2 linked regions of the Arabidopsis thaliana genome follow. The protein of the gene in region 2 interacts with the protein of the main gene of each other region in a pairwise test. Each region holds a gene or a part of one and is shown on either strand. Other genes may lie near its edges.

The links.
Region 1: the proteins of MYB29 (region 2) and SRO5 interact in binary tests that used the Arabidopsis thaliana proteins (3 or more experiments, as listed by UniProt).

Annotation. Positions count from the first base shown.
Region 1 is NC_003076.8:25,095,713-25,102,048, reverse strand, and holds SRO5 (uncharacterized protein), read right to left. Parts: upstream 4,106-6,336; 5' UTR 3,979-4,105; coding exon 3,521-3,978; intron 3,433-3,520; coding exon 3,188-3,432; coding exon of another isoform or gene 3,165-3,187; exon of another isoform or gene 3,105-3,164; coding exon 2,986-3,104; exon of another isoform or gene 2,893-2,985; coding exon 2,785-2,892; 3' UTR 2,282-2,784; coding exon of another isoform or gene 2,143-2,281; 3' UTR 2,142-2,142; downstream 1-2,141. Other genes in the region: ALDH12A1 (aldehyde dehydrogenase 12A1), read left to right, coding at 50-163, 344-427, 509-613, 696-809, 900-1,031, 1,117-1,206, 1,311-1,400, 1,485-1,697 and 3 more; AT5G62510 (F-box family protein), read left to right, coding at 5,414-6,336. UniProt on the Arabidopsis thaliana protein: Probable inactive ADP-ribosyltransferase that may be involved in stress and developmental responses.
Region 2 is NC_003076.8:2,442,690-2,450,342, reverse strand, and holds MYB29 (myb domain protein 29), read right to left. Parts: upstream 3,675-7,653; 5' UTR 3,254-3,674; coding exon 3,121-3,253; intron 3,025-3,120; coding exon 2,895-3,024; intron 2,806-2,894; coding exon 2,058-2,805; 3' UTR 1,759-2,057; downstream 1-1,758. Other genes in the region: MYB76 (myb domain protein 76), read right to left, coding at 1-18. UniProt on the Arabidopsis thaliana protein: Plays a minor rheostat role in aliphatic glucosinolates (GLSs) biosynthesis, mostly short chained. Together with MYB28/HAG1 and MYB76/HAG2, promotes aliphatic glucosinolate biosynthesis but represses indolic glucosinolate biosynthesis.

The DNA.
Region 1 (6,336 bases), about 23 Mb from region 2:
GAATAACATGCATACTGAGCTACTGTTGTATGCGTGTATACACTATTAGGTTGCTGATTTCTTCGCGAGGTTAATTCAAAGGGTTGCTCCAAAGAGTTACCAGCAAGCTGCTGGAGAAGTCTTTGTCACACGGAAGTTTTTAGAAAACTTTTGTGGTGATCAGGTACATTACTCTCTTCACCATTTTTTATTTTGGTTCCTGGCTATTAGTTTCAACAACTTAGTAATTCTTGAAGGCATGTTCTCAAAAATGCCTATATAGACATTTCATGTTTGTGGCTGAATTTCCGAAATTACATCTTTAAATGTATGTTTATGATTTCGCTTCACTTTCTTTTATCAGGTGCGGTTCCTGGCACGGTCTTTTGCAATCCCTGGGAATCATCTTGGGCAGCAAAGTCATGGTTACCGTTGGCCTTATGGTCCTGTAAGGCATTCTTCCTAGATGGTTGTAATTGGTGAGAACTCTGTCTGTGCTTTGTTTTGAAATCATAGATTTGTAATGCAGGTAACGATTGTTACACCATTTAATTTTCCACTTGAGATTCCACTACTTCAGTTGATGGGGGCATTATACATGGGTAACAAACCTCTTCTTAAAGTGGACAGCAAGGTATAAATTACTCTTCACATTACTATAGTTCTCGTAATTGTATTGGTTCCATCTGTTTGATAATATAATGTTATTTGATTAGGTAAGCATTGTTATGGAGCAAATGATGCGATTGCTCCACTATTGTGGTTTACCCGCTGAAGATGTGGACTTTATAAATTCTGATGGGAAGACAATGAACAAGATATTGTTAGAGGTATTTGGTCAGGAATTCACAAGTCTATTGTCTCCACAGGGTTTTTAGTTGAGCTAATTCAGTGTCTTGTCGATTTGTAACTTCTTTCAGGCGAACCCACGGATGACCCTCTTCACGGGTAGTTCTAGAGTAGCTGAAAAGTTGGCACTTGACCTTAAGGGTCGAATCAGATTGGAAGATGCTGGATTTGATTGGAAAGTCTTAGGACCAGATGTTCAGGAGGTTTCTTATTATACCCTTCCGTATTTGTATTTCCACAAGTCTCCTTAAATGTGATTGTAACCCTTGTTTCGGTCTCTAATGTCAGGTTGATTATGTTGCATGGCAATGTGATCAAGATGCATACGCGTGCAGTGGACAGAAGTGTTCTGCACAGTCTATGCTTTTTGTTCATGAGGTTGGTTTGATCCTAATTGTTATGGTGAAACTACCTTTGAATCTTTTGTTTACTTCCATTTTCTTCTGTCTTTGTTGTTTTCAATGTATTTTCTCTCTGAGCAGAACTGGTCAAAAACCCCTCTTGTTTCCAAATTAAAAGAACTAGCGGAAAGACGCAAACTGGAAGACTTAACCATTGGTCCTGTCCTTACAGTGAGTTTCATTGTTTCTCCATCTGTTGTTAATCATCTGATGAGATTGTATCATTAAAACTTATTTTTTCATTATTGTTTCAAGTTTACAACTGAGGCAATGTTGGAGCACATGGAGAATCTGCTTCAGATTCCTGGCTCAAAGCTACTCTTTGGTGGCAAGGAATTGAAGAATCATTCGATTCCTTCAATCTACGGAGCTTTGGAGCCAACTGCAGTTTATGTTCCCATTGAAGAAATCTTGAAGGATAATAAAACCTACGAACTCGTCACCAAAGAAATCTTTGGACCATTTCAGGTTACCTTGATATCGACTTTATTAGCTTTGTCTAAATGATCTTGTGTGTTTCTTTTACTGAAACGTATAGTGTTGTTTCTGTATATGATATCCAGATTGTAACGGAATACAAAAAGGATCAACTTCCTCTAGTGTTGGAAGCATTGGAGAGGATGCACGCTCATCTAACTGCAGCTGTTGTTTCAAACGATCCCATCTTTCTTCAGGCAAATCTTTTCACAATTATCATCAATCAATCTCTTATTCTCTATCCCTTCGATATTGATGTAACAAATCTGTGCAGGAAGTAATAGGGAACTCAGTGAATGGGACTACATATGCTGGACTAAGAGGAAGAACAACTGGAGCTCCTCAGAATCACTGGTGAGAGGAAAAATCACACTCCCAAATTAAAGTATCTATTTCTATTTCTTTGAGGAAAAGTTAAACTATCATATAAACACAGGTTTGGACCTGCGGGGGACCCGAGAGGGGCCGGGATAGGGACACCAGAGGCTATAAAGCTGGTTTGGTCATGCCACAGAGAAGTCATCTACGATTATGGTCCGGTTCCACAAGGTTGGGAACTTCCTCCATCTACTTAGAAGTGGTGTGTCCACTAATAATTAATAAACTAAGATCTTAGTGTGCTGTTGCATCAAATAAATATGAGTTTTGTAGTTTTATCTCTACGAGTAGTTTCCGTGTGAGGGAATAAGAGCTTGAAACATGAAGTTTTCAACGACGTTGACTTAGTCAAGGGGTAGAGGGATTAAGACAGAGAGAGAACTATTGTAAAACTCAGTCCACCAGAAATTTTCTTCAGCTCAAAGCCAGACAATAATACAAATGTTTTTGAAAGAAGAAGAGTGAAAAGAAAAACAAGATGATAACTTGTTAATGTTCTCTTCATTAATAATGTTGCTAAGACCCTAATCTAATCGATCTTAAATAATCTAATGAACAGTTTTTTTTCATCACTATCATGGGAAAACAATAGAAAGGGACTCTACCAGTCCTGATCATTTTGGAGTTGGTAAACAGACAAATACAACCATGGTGATTGTGTCCTTGAAACAAAAACGCCAAAGTGATCTGCAATGGAGATTTAGTGTTGTACTTTATGTCCACAAGCTTTGATGATGTGAACTAGTAACTTGTCTCCGGTTATGCTTCTGACTCGTTGGATTAGTTCGCTCCGTGTAATTCTCCTATTCTGTTAAATCCAAAGGAAAGCAACAATTAGAATGTGAAATGAAATCACCTCAAAAGATAATTGAAGAGGAAACAAACAAAAAAAAACACTTACTTGTTGATCTTTGTAATGTTTCTGAATGACAAGTATTTGAGAAGGAGGTAGAAACTTGGACAATGCTTTGATCAATACAGGAAATGCCATCCATGGTGATCTCAATCTCTTTGGACTTCCTGCAAAAACAGTTATAACTATGTCAAAAAACCATAAACAAGAACAAGAAAAACTCAAGATTAGAGATTTTGATTTTGCTTACGAGTTAGGTTAAATGGAGCTTTGATGCAAACAAGAAACTCAGGCAAAACATGAGTGTTCATGTGTGTACTCCACACAATATACTTCTTCGTAGAAACTAAATCATCCACACCAGAATCAAACTCTGGTGAACTTGGACATGATCTAGTCGAGCCTTGAGGAACAATCTCTGATTTTCCAAGTAGAACTCTACAAAGCAACAAGAATCTCATCCCATCTTCTGATTCTGAAGCTGAATCCTTCAAACTAATCAAACAAACAAACACCAAAAATGAGATTTTGAGACCAATGAATTTCGAAAAATTGAAACTTTTAGAGATTTAGAGAAACTTACCAATCAAGAGGAGAATTATCCGGCGAGAGATACAATCCACGGCCAAAAGATCCATCATTCCTCAGCGGCTCGCTAAACCCATACTCAAAAATCGTTTTAAGCTCATGTTTCGAAACAGAGCACCAACCGTATTTCACCTTAGCTCCACCGTCTCCACCGTGTTTCATCTGCACCGCCTCTTGAAAAACCTGAAAAGTCTTGAGCTTTGCACGAGATCCAACGTTCCTAAATCCGTTTCTAAGAACAGAGAGAATCTGACATTGATCACCAAGACCAGATTTACAATTACGATAGATCAAATCATGAGCTTTATCTCCTTCAAGCAACTCCATAAGCCCAAGCTCGTCAGCAAAAGATCGATCAGAAGAAGAATCGCAGCTTCCAGATTCAGAGATGGTTGATCCATCTTGCTCAGAATCATCAAAAACAGCTTCGACTTGGGTTCTCACGTAATCCATTGAAAAATAGGAACTTTAGAACCGAATGAGAAAAGAAACTTTATAAAGCTTTTGAATTAGTATTTTGTTACTTGAGAGAGGAAAAGAACTTGAGGTCCAAGTTCATATTTATAGCTATGACTTAAGGAAATAATTACACATATGGAAAAAAGAACCGCCTTTTGTTTCTGTTACCGTCGGTTTTGCAATTTTTATAAATATCAAAAACTCAGAGTTTCTTGTCTTTTTCTCCGTGGAGAAGACGTAAACAAACATTTAACAGCTAAATATCTTTCTTATTTTATTACATAATAAATACTTTGGTTAAGTTTTTGTAAGTTGCGGCCGCTAGCTGTTTTTTTTTTCTTTGAGGGGTCTATTCCGTGTTGGAGTTCGTTAAGCGGGTTGGTTGGTGTGAAAAGACGAAAATATCCTTTGGATCAAGTGGGGCTTTTAGGTAGAAGCGGAAATGACGAAGTTACCCTTTGCTTGTGGACATCGAGAATGTGTTGTATCGCGTCTTTCTTAGTTGAGAGGACACGACCGACACACGTAACACGTTTTATACGTAACCAATTTCAATTTCTTAAATGAATTTTAAGGTCAATATTATTTTAGTTAGAATCACATAAGTGTATAACTAAATAAATTAATCGACAAACAATGTGAATGTGTGTGATTACAATGAATAGGTTAAATTAGATTAGTATAGTTAAACTCACCGAAATCGTGTTTGACTTGTATCATTGCAATCAAATGTCTTTATACAAACTTATTTACTAACAACATATCGTCTTCTAAGTATGAACTCTTAATTTTCAACAAATTGAGATTCGTATATGTTTCAAAGTCATATTATAAGCACAATTAAGTCTTGTTTAAGAAAACGCATAAGTAATCAAATTGATTAAAAAACATATTGTAAAAAAATCCTAAATTAATCGCAATGAAATGGTAAATAAATTGGGTTTTCAATAGGTAACTCTGTTTATTTTTGAATATTTAGAAATAATCCCGAAAGAAACTTGATTCAAATGAGCTTACCGCTAGCGATATCCAAATATTAGCTAGAAATGACTTTAATCAATTTTTTCTTTTTTTTTACCTTAATCATAAATCATAAGCATGCATGTTTTTTAGAATTATCTCATTCAGAAGCCCATACATGAATCAATGATAATTTGTTATTGAGCCATACTTCATTTTATGAACGATATAAGCCTAGTAAGAACATTGCGAGACAAATAAAAACCAATCCGGTAATCTTTCAAATTTAGGAACATACCGTATATATTGGGTTTCGGTTCATTTTTAAAACCGAAGAAAACCGGTTAGGGTAAACTTTCTTTTCCTAATCAACAAAAGGAAAACTGTTGATTAGAGACGATCATCGTCCTCTACTTTATAAAACTGTCACAACCCTAGAATTTGGATATACAAGTTTGTAGTAGTAGCCATGCGTTTGTCTGTAGCTCTGATTTCATCTTTTCAATGGAAGAAGAGGTCTTCAAAGGCGATTATGAGAAGAGGAAGAAAAAGAAGAAGAAGAAGACAAAGAGGAGAAGATTTTTTTGTGGCACCGGAGATTCCTTTGGATCTACTGATCGAGATTCTGACTAGATTGCCTCATAAATCGCTTATGAGGTTCAAGTGCGTTTCAAAGCAGTGGTCTTCTCTTATCCGTTCCCGATTTTTTAGCAACCGTTATCTTACGGTTGCATCTCCACTGCGACCACATCGTCTATACATTAGTTTGGTGGACCACAAGTGTGATTCAAGGGAGGTCTGCCACAGCCCCCGCGAGTCTGTACTGCTATCATTCTCATCGCCTTCTAGTTTCGACCAAGATTTGACGACCATGCAAGGGATGGGAGGACTACATATGGTGACTCTTCGTGGCTTGATTTTATACATTGTTTGCGGAAAAGCGTGTCTCTATAATCCCACCACCAGACAGAGCGTAACCTTACCCGCCATCAAATTCAACATTTTTGTCCAAGGAAACGAACATAGTCTCCTCTACTTCTTGGGGCACGATCCTGTTCTTGATCAATACAAAGTAGTTTGCACTTTTGTGTCATCATCCTCACAAGATTTGGAAACGATAATCTCGGAGCATTGGGTCTTCGTACTGGAAGTTGGAGGTTCTTGGAAAAGAATTGAGTTTGATCAACCTCATACTCCTACGAGATCTGGACTGTGCATCGGTGGAGTTATATATTATCTTGCTTTCACTAGTATGTTTCAGGATATCGTTGTCACCTTTGACGTTAGGTCTGAAGAATTTAACATTATCCAAGCGCCTCTTGTGTTGTCTGCATATGTTGACTCTCTGGATTTTATAGAGTACGGTGGGAAACCAGCTATTTTTTATCATAC
Region 2 (7,653 bases):
ATATGGTCTCTTTGACATTTTCTTAGTTATATCTAGAACAAAAGTGCGTATAAGAAACAAAAATCAGAAATAGTACATAATGTAGGATATCAGAGATTACGAATACGGTTATTATTTTCGTCAAGGGTCTTAGTTTTTTTTTTCCTTTGTAATCAAAGATCATTACAACGACAATAGATCAAATAAAACTAAAGAATATTACCAAAAAAGAAGAAGAAGAAAAAAAAGATCAAAGATCTATGAAGTCATTTGTACACGTACGATCTACCTCTTCATATAGTCAACATCACGGTAAGTGTCATGCACTCGTGACAATAAACTTTTAAACCACGTAAACTAATGAATATTAATAGACATGTTAAGCTTATCCGCAGAGGTGGGGCTAGTGTAGAGTTATGGGGGTCAATTGACCCCTATAACATTTATTAATTTTTTGTTATAAGGTAAGTTTTACAATGATTTATGGAAATGGTGTTATCAAAGAATTAAAAGATATGTCACTCATTTTAGCATCTAATTAACGTGTATATATAATATATGCACACACATTTATTACTGCATTATGCATGACATTTATCTACAACACAATAATTATTAATTAATGTTATATGATAATATGCAATTGCTAAAATATACTAAGAAAAAAAAAAAAACATTAATCAATCAAACACCATTTACATCTTTTTACGACCGTTGTTCATTATTTCAATTCTTTGACACCAATACAAAATAAAACTAAAAATGGCAGATAGTGATATTTGTCAAGTCCCTGCGGGAAGGAAATTAGGTATAGTAGCCAGAATCTTGGACGGTGCACGTTTTTCGGCTTCTTTGTCTATCTGCCCATATATGTCACACAGCCTTGCTGTCCCTCTAGTCTCTATCCACTTTTTTTTTTTTTTGTCATTAAATTCAGGTGTTATCATCTAATCTAAAATATTTTCACATTTTAACATGTTTCGTATTGATATCTAAAAACAACCAATTATCGTGTAGAACAAAGCAGTCTAATTAGTCTACTTGGATATCAATCAACACACAAGATTGTGTGCAAAAATCTGTGGTTTTTTTCTTTTCACATCCACTTCTCTCTTTAAGCTTTTTAATGCAACAACTATATCTTTAGTCCCTATATGCATATCATTTCCTAATTTCCGGCTGATAGCTTAATTCGATTCAAGATTTATAAATCTTGAGAATCTTGGCTTAAACACCTTCAGCTGCCCACCTCACAAACTGTCTAGAAAAGAAAATAATTTGGCCTCTAAATTGGTAGCAGATTTTGTACGACATATTATACAAACAGAAGTTGCTTCAAAATTATCTTGTTAATCTTCATCAGTTGGATCAAGTATCATTTCTCTATCTTATTTCATGTTTTTAAATGAAAACCTTACGGAGCATTTGAAGCTAAGGCTTGCACATGTTTAAGGTAGAGAGACTTCAGAACTCTCTGTTTTTCCCATGGAAATTTTGTCTCATAGAGACTGCATCGGATTTTGCCTCTTAACAAAAACACATTGGATCTCATAATTGTTCATCGATCCCTTGATAACTCACTTAAGCTATTTTTTTGTTGGTTAATGGTTACTACTTCTAATATATCCATGAAACTTATCCACAAAAAAGCTTATCGACTTTCTCAGTAGTCAGTAGGGATTTGTTTCTTCGGAGTTTCATATCACCAAAAACCTAAAATGTGTTACATATTTTTCATTGTTTTTGGTAACATGGCTCAGACTGTCAGACAAACTAAGGCTCAAACTTTAAATCAAATGGTTTTAGTACAGTGAACGCTTGCAATCAAATGGGTGTTTTATTTATTATTTATAGTACGTAAATCCACAAACAACAATAGAAGGAAAAAAAACTCGTGTCTCCCGCAAATCAAATACTAATTGATCCACGGCATCACAAGGTTCTCTAACTAAGAGAATCCATTACTGAATATTAATATATAGTGACCCTATAGTGGACCTTTACTATAACTTGACAAATATCTAAGAGAACCATATGACATTAACCGGTCAACTCTAGTCCGGTAAGCAATCAACGGATCATATGAAGTTCTTGTCGTCGTAATCTTGGCTCGTGTCATAATTGAAATCGGAATGGTCAAGGAGATAATTTGACCAACCAGTTATGTTTTGCATCATCTCGTCTTCATCAACGCTTGTTGATGAGACATCAGACATAAGAAGATCTTGGTTATATCCTCCTCCAGTATTGTCAGCTTCTTCCCCTTCGTTGTTACTAAACTGCTCGAGAAACTGCGAGAAATCGTATTCGGAATTGTTGATGCTGATATCTTCTTTCATATGATCAATTATGTGTTCAGATGACTGATAGAATGGATCAAATTCTTCCATCTGAAATTGACTTGTTTCAGAAAAGTCATCATTTAGACATGAAGACAACGGTGTAGAGCTGATCAAGGTTCCTTCGATGGAGGCGCCTAGTATAGTTCCCATGGAAGAAGCCCTAGCTGCAACTTTGTTTAACAGTTTTGATGTAGAACTCGATCTCTTAAAACAACGTTTCTTGGAGCTCAAGGAAGCATCATATTTCGGTGTCTCGTCACTGCTGGTTATCTCCGGTACATTTTTGGAGCTTGAAGGAGGAAGAGACTTTGGAGAGATGGAACCCGATTGCGATTGCTCATCCGGGTTTGAGTCATAGGCAAGTGGCTTGTGGGTCACGGGATCGATTCCCTTATCGATCAGGAGCTTTTTGAGATGCGTGTTCCAGTAGTTCTTAATCTCGTTATCTGTTCTTTTGGGCAAATGTCTCGCTATGACTGACCACCTTTTAAGTAAAACATATATATAAACTTTAATAATGTGTTAATTATATATACCCTTATTTATATGGATTTCGGCAAGCTAGGATTTTACTTGTTGCCGCGAGAAGCGTGTAGCATGATGATAATCTGTTCCTCCTCATAGCTAAACTCTCCTCTCTTGATGTCAGGTTTCAAATAGTTAGCCCATCGCAATCTACAACTCTTTCCACATCGTTTTAGTCCTAAACACCATCATTTGTCATAAAAACAACAATTATAGTTATATATATGTAAAAAGTGTTTTAAAATATATACATAATAATAAAGCACATATATACCAGCTTTTTGGGGAATGTCACGCCAGCCTCCTTCACCGTGTTCATGAATGTAAGAGATGAGTTTCTTGTCTTCTTCGGCAGTCCATGCTCCTTTCTTCAGTCCTTCTCCCACACAACATGGCTTTCTTGACATCTTGTTTTTCTTCTTTTTTTGATATAGATTTACATACAACCTATAGGTAAGAAATAAGAAAAAGAAAAAATAAGAAAAGAAAAAAAAAACAGAATGTCGTCGAGTTTAAGGCAATAGACTGATAGATCTCTTGATGAGAACTCTGATGCATCTGAATATGAAACTGACTGAGAAACTGTGGTAGACGACCGTTGTAGGATTTTGTGTTTTCATATTAAACATTTAAAAGAAAGACTAGGAGAAGATATATCAAAGTTTCAAGACATTGCAAGCTACTACTCCTCCATGCATAATTATATATGTTTATGCATATATATAAGCCTGGCACTCGTGTAGAATGTACTTTTTGAAATAACTTAAATAAGTAATAAGCTTTTTTTAAATAAGAATATCAACTCATCATCAAGAGTACTTTGACCCCCCAAAAAAAAAAAAAAAAAACTCATCAAGAGTGAGTGTTAGTGACAAGATGTTTTTGGAACTATTCAAATGGTTTGAGAGAGACTTATGGAATATTTTCTGCCACTAGATAAATAATCAACATCACAAATACAGTGCCGACCCAAAGAGAAATATCATAAATACATGACAACTTCATAAGTTACCATATATTTTTATTAGAGTTGATTTGATAAAGGGCAATGGGAAAAAATATAATTAGAAAAGAACAACTTCATAAGCTCGAGTACGTATCGACAGAATGTGGGACAAAATTCTGTGCTTTATTTTTTCTATATATAGATTTATAACATATATTTATATGATATTTTCTTAAATAGATATATCTATATTTAACATATTAATAATAATATAGAACTTAAAATAATAGATTATACAAGTATATATGATGAATAGTTGATCAGCTAGATGTCAACGTAGAACTGCAATTTTTTTTTTCTTTTTTTTTGTAAAATAGAACTGCATTTTAAAATAAACTATGTTCCCTTAAATAATTAAATGACATAATAAAAACCGTCAAAAATATTCAATTGATACGTATATTAACAAATTACGAAAATAAACTAAAATTATACGTTGTGAAATAATTGAATGATAAGAATAAAACTGTCTGAAACATGCTTTTTGATCTAGTGAATAAAATAGATTAAAAGTTTTTTTTTTTTTTCGTCAACTAAAAGTTATTTCATCTATTCATTATTATTGTATTTATTGTCATCTAATGCAAATAATTTTCTCTCAGTACATTTTATATCACGTGTGTTCTTTTTCAACATCGGTCCTATTTGTTTGCCACTTTGGGTGTAACACTAACGCTGAATTCAAAATTTAAATAAAGTTATTTTGCTCAATTATTAATGTTCGTTTTTTCTCATCTAATCACATTTCACATCTCGCATCTCAAGTAGTTTCTTTTATTTTAGTTACGCCTCTTCGGAACATGCAGAGTTAACTCAAAACCAAACATCCACACTCAAAATGAAACCCCAAAGATAGCTGCATAAGTTGTAAGAAAAATATCTACAGACAAAATGAACGTAACATTATTTGTTTTATTTGTAACCAATACAGATTCAAACCACTTTAACAACAACAACAAAAAAAAAAAAAAAATTCAAGCCAAAACTCAAAATAAAACACAACATAAATTTATAATCTGTAAAATGTACTATATGTTTTTATTATTTAAGACATTAATAGTGATCGAAAGAAAAGAAAATACATCAATTTCGTATATATTATTAAAATTTGTTCTATTAATCCACATGGAAAATCTTTTGTCGAGTCAATCAACCCATTCAGCCAGACTTGTAAACAGTTCTACTTTTACTTTTTTTTGTTAGGGTTTTACGTTTTTGAATAGTGAGAAGAAAACTTCAATAAAAACAAACAAAATGTTTAAAAATGCCTTGATAAAAAATGGTACGTGTTAATTATAATTACCCACAAGGCCACAACCATCAAAGTGATTTATCATTGATTTTAAATTAATGAATTAATTATTAGATACAAAATCAGTTACTATCTTTCTAGTTACCCTCACTCTAGCTCTCTCGAATTATTCTGTCTCTCTCGTTTATGAATTTTGTTCTAGTTAATCGAAATTTGACGAACAAACTGTTTAAATATTTTCTCATCGAAAACGTAAAGTATGACCATGTGGCGAAAACATTGTTATTTGTGGCCCTACCGAATCGATCACTGATCAAAGTTTGTGGTCTTTCAAACCATTTTCTATATTACCAACCACATGTATTTAAAACTATTGCTATGCATGGCAGCATGGGCCAAACCCAAACGTCGTATATATTGCGATGCTACCAAAGTTCCAATTCATAATTTGGGAAACAACGCAATCGTTGAAAATGGTAAAATTATGTGGCGTACGTAGAATCTCCTTCATTCACCAGCTCCAACCATCAAACATGGCCGACGCCCTCCGGGTTTGGTTCCACTCGAGAGCCTAACAAAGGCTCTGTTTTGAAATCCTTTATACCTCTGTTTTTCCTTGGTTTTAAAATTTTCTGAAACTCAAAAAAACGTTATGCTTAAAGCTGCATATATTGTAACCAAGGACTTTTTTGAATAAATTTTACATTGATTCAAAAAAAAAAAAAAAAAAAAAGACAACCCTCAAATAACAAAAGAGGATCTTTATTTTACTTTTCAAATGTGGGCAGGAAAACTATGTTTTAAAGACTTGCCCCAAATCATGAGTTTCATTTAGTATTAATGATCTTTTGTAATAATTAGTTGGTCAAAATTTTCAAAATCCCCCCAGAGTGCATATTATACCTTAGATATCCACCGACATAACTAAATAGGTGTAGCAATAATACTATATATTAATGATTTTTAGTATGCCTGTTCTATGTTGCTTAGCCTTATATAGGTTGTCACTTTCGTCATTATAAATGCAACTTGAAAATACTATGGCATGAGATTTGTGACAAACGCGAACGCAATGGAGAGACGAGGTCTTGATCATTGGGCTTGATATTGAGCCAATCATTCAAATTATTCACTTTTTTTTTTTGACACCTCAAATTATTCACTTAAACAATAGTTTTTAATACCATTGTGAATAAAATCAAAGATCTAATAAGTTATTGTGAATTTGTGATACACAAGATCAGTATACGATTTCAAAGCTGACTCCCCCTCCCATTCATCATAACATAAGTTATTCGGTAGATTTTACACTTCTTTTTCGGAATAACAAAGGGCCTGATAGAATTAATTACAATGATTGATAGTGGACATGTAGATAAGGAAATATATATAAGAATCATAGTGGACCTAGATAAATAGACCCATAGAACTAAAGCAGTAACAATTTTTGATGGAAAGAAACATAATATATATTTTTAACTACAAAACAAAGTGAAGAAATGATGGAAAAGTGGGGCCTAAGGACAGAGGCAACAATGACAGGCCCATTGACACTCTCATATGAAAGGTTCATGTGGTTCTCCCACTCGTCTATTGCTAATTATTAACTTTATCAAATGCAAAGTATATTTCTCATTAATGAACAAAGTAAACATTACAAGAGTATATATAGTATGAGAGTAAAGTAACAAACTATAACTAACTCTCATATAGGCTTAATACACCCCCCTCAAGCCGAATCCTGTATAGCTTGACCTTTTTGAGGAAGGAAGAGGCTTGACACTGATAGACGACCAAGGATAGACCGAAATGGACCTGGTTGAAGCGCCTTAGTCAGAATATCAGCAAGTTGGTTCTCTGTATCAACATGAAGAACCTTCAAGAAGCCATTCTTGACTCTATCTCGTGTAGTATGACAGTCGATTTCAACATGTTTAGTTCGCTCATGGAACACCGAGTTATTTGCAATATGCATAGCCGATTTATTATCGCAAAAGAGCTTAACCTGAAACTCCATCTCCACATGTAAGTCTTTCAGCATTTGAGCTAACCACAACAATTCCTTAGTCGCTACTGCCATACTCCTGTACTCTGCTTCTGTGCTACTTCCACTGGCTACTTCCTGCTTTTTAGATTTCCAAGTAATCAGAGAAGTGCCAAGAAATACACACACACCACTTACTGATCTTCTGGAGTCCAAGCATGTTCCCCAATCAGCATCAGCAAAGCCATTTAAGTACAATTCTGTTCCTGCAGAGGAAAACAAACCTTGACCTGGATTGTTCTTTAGGTATTTCAAAACCTGATGTGCCGCATGCAAATGAACATTCGTTGGGCAAGATAAGAATTGACTGAGATTATGGACTGCAAATGTAATGTCCGGTCTTGTAACACAAAGATACAGTAACCTCCCAATCAATTCTCTGTAAGGTCTTCCATCTTCAAGTAAAGTACCTAAATCCTTCGTAAGAACCACCTTCGGATCCATAGGCACTGATTTAGGCTTGCATCCTAATAGACCAGAATTAGCCAACAAATCCAAACAATAC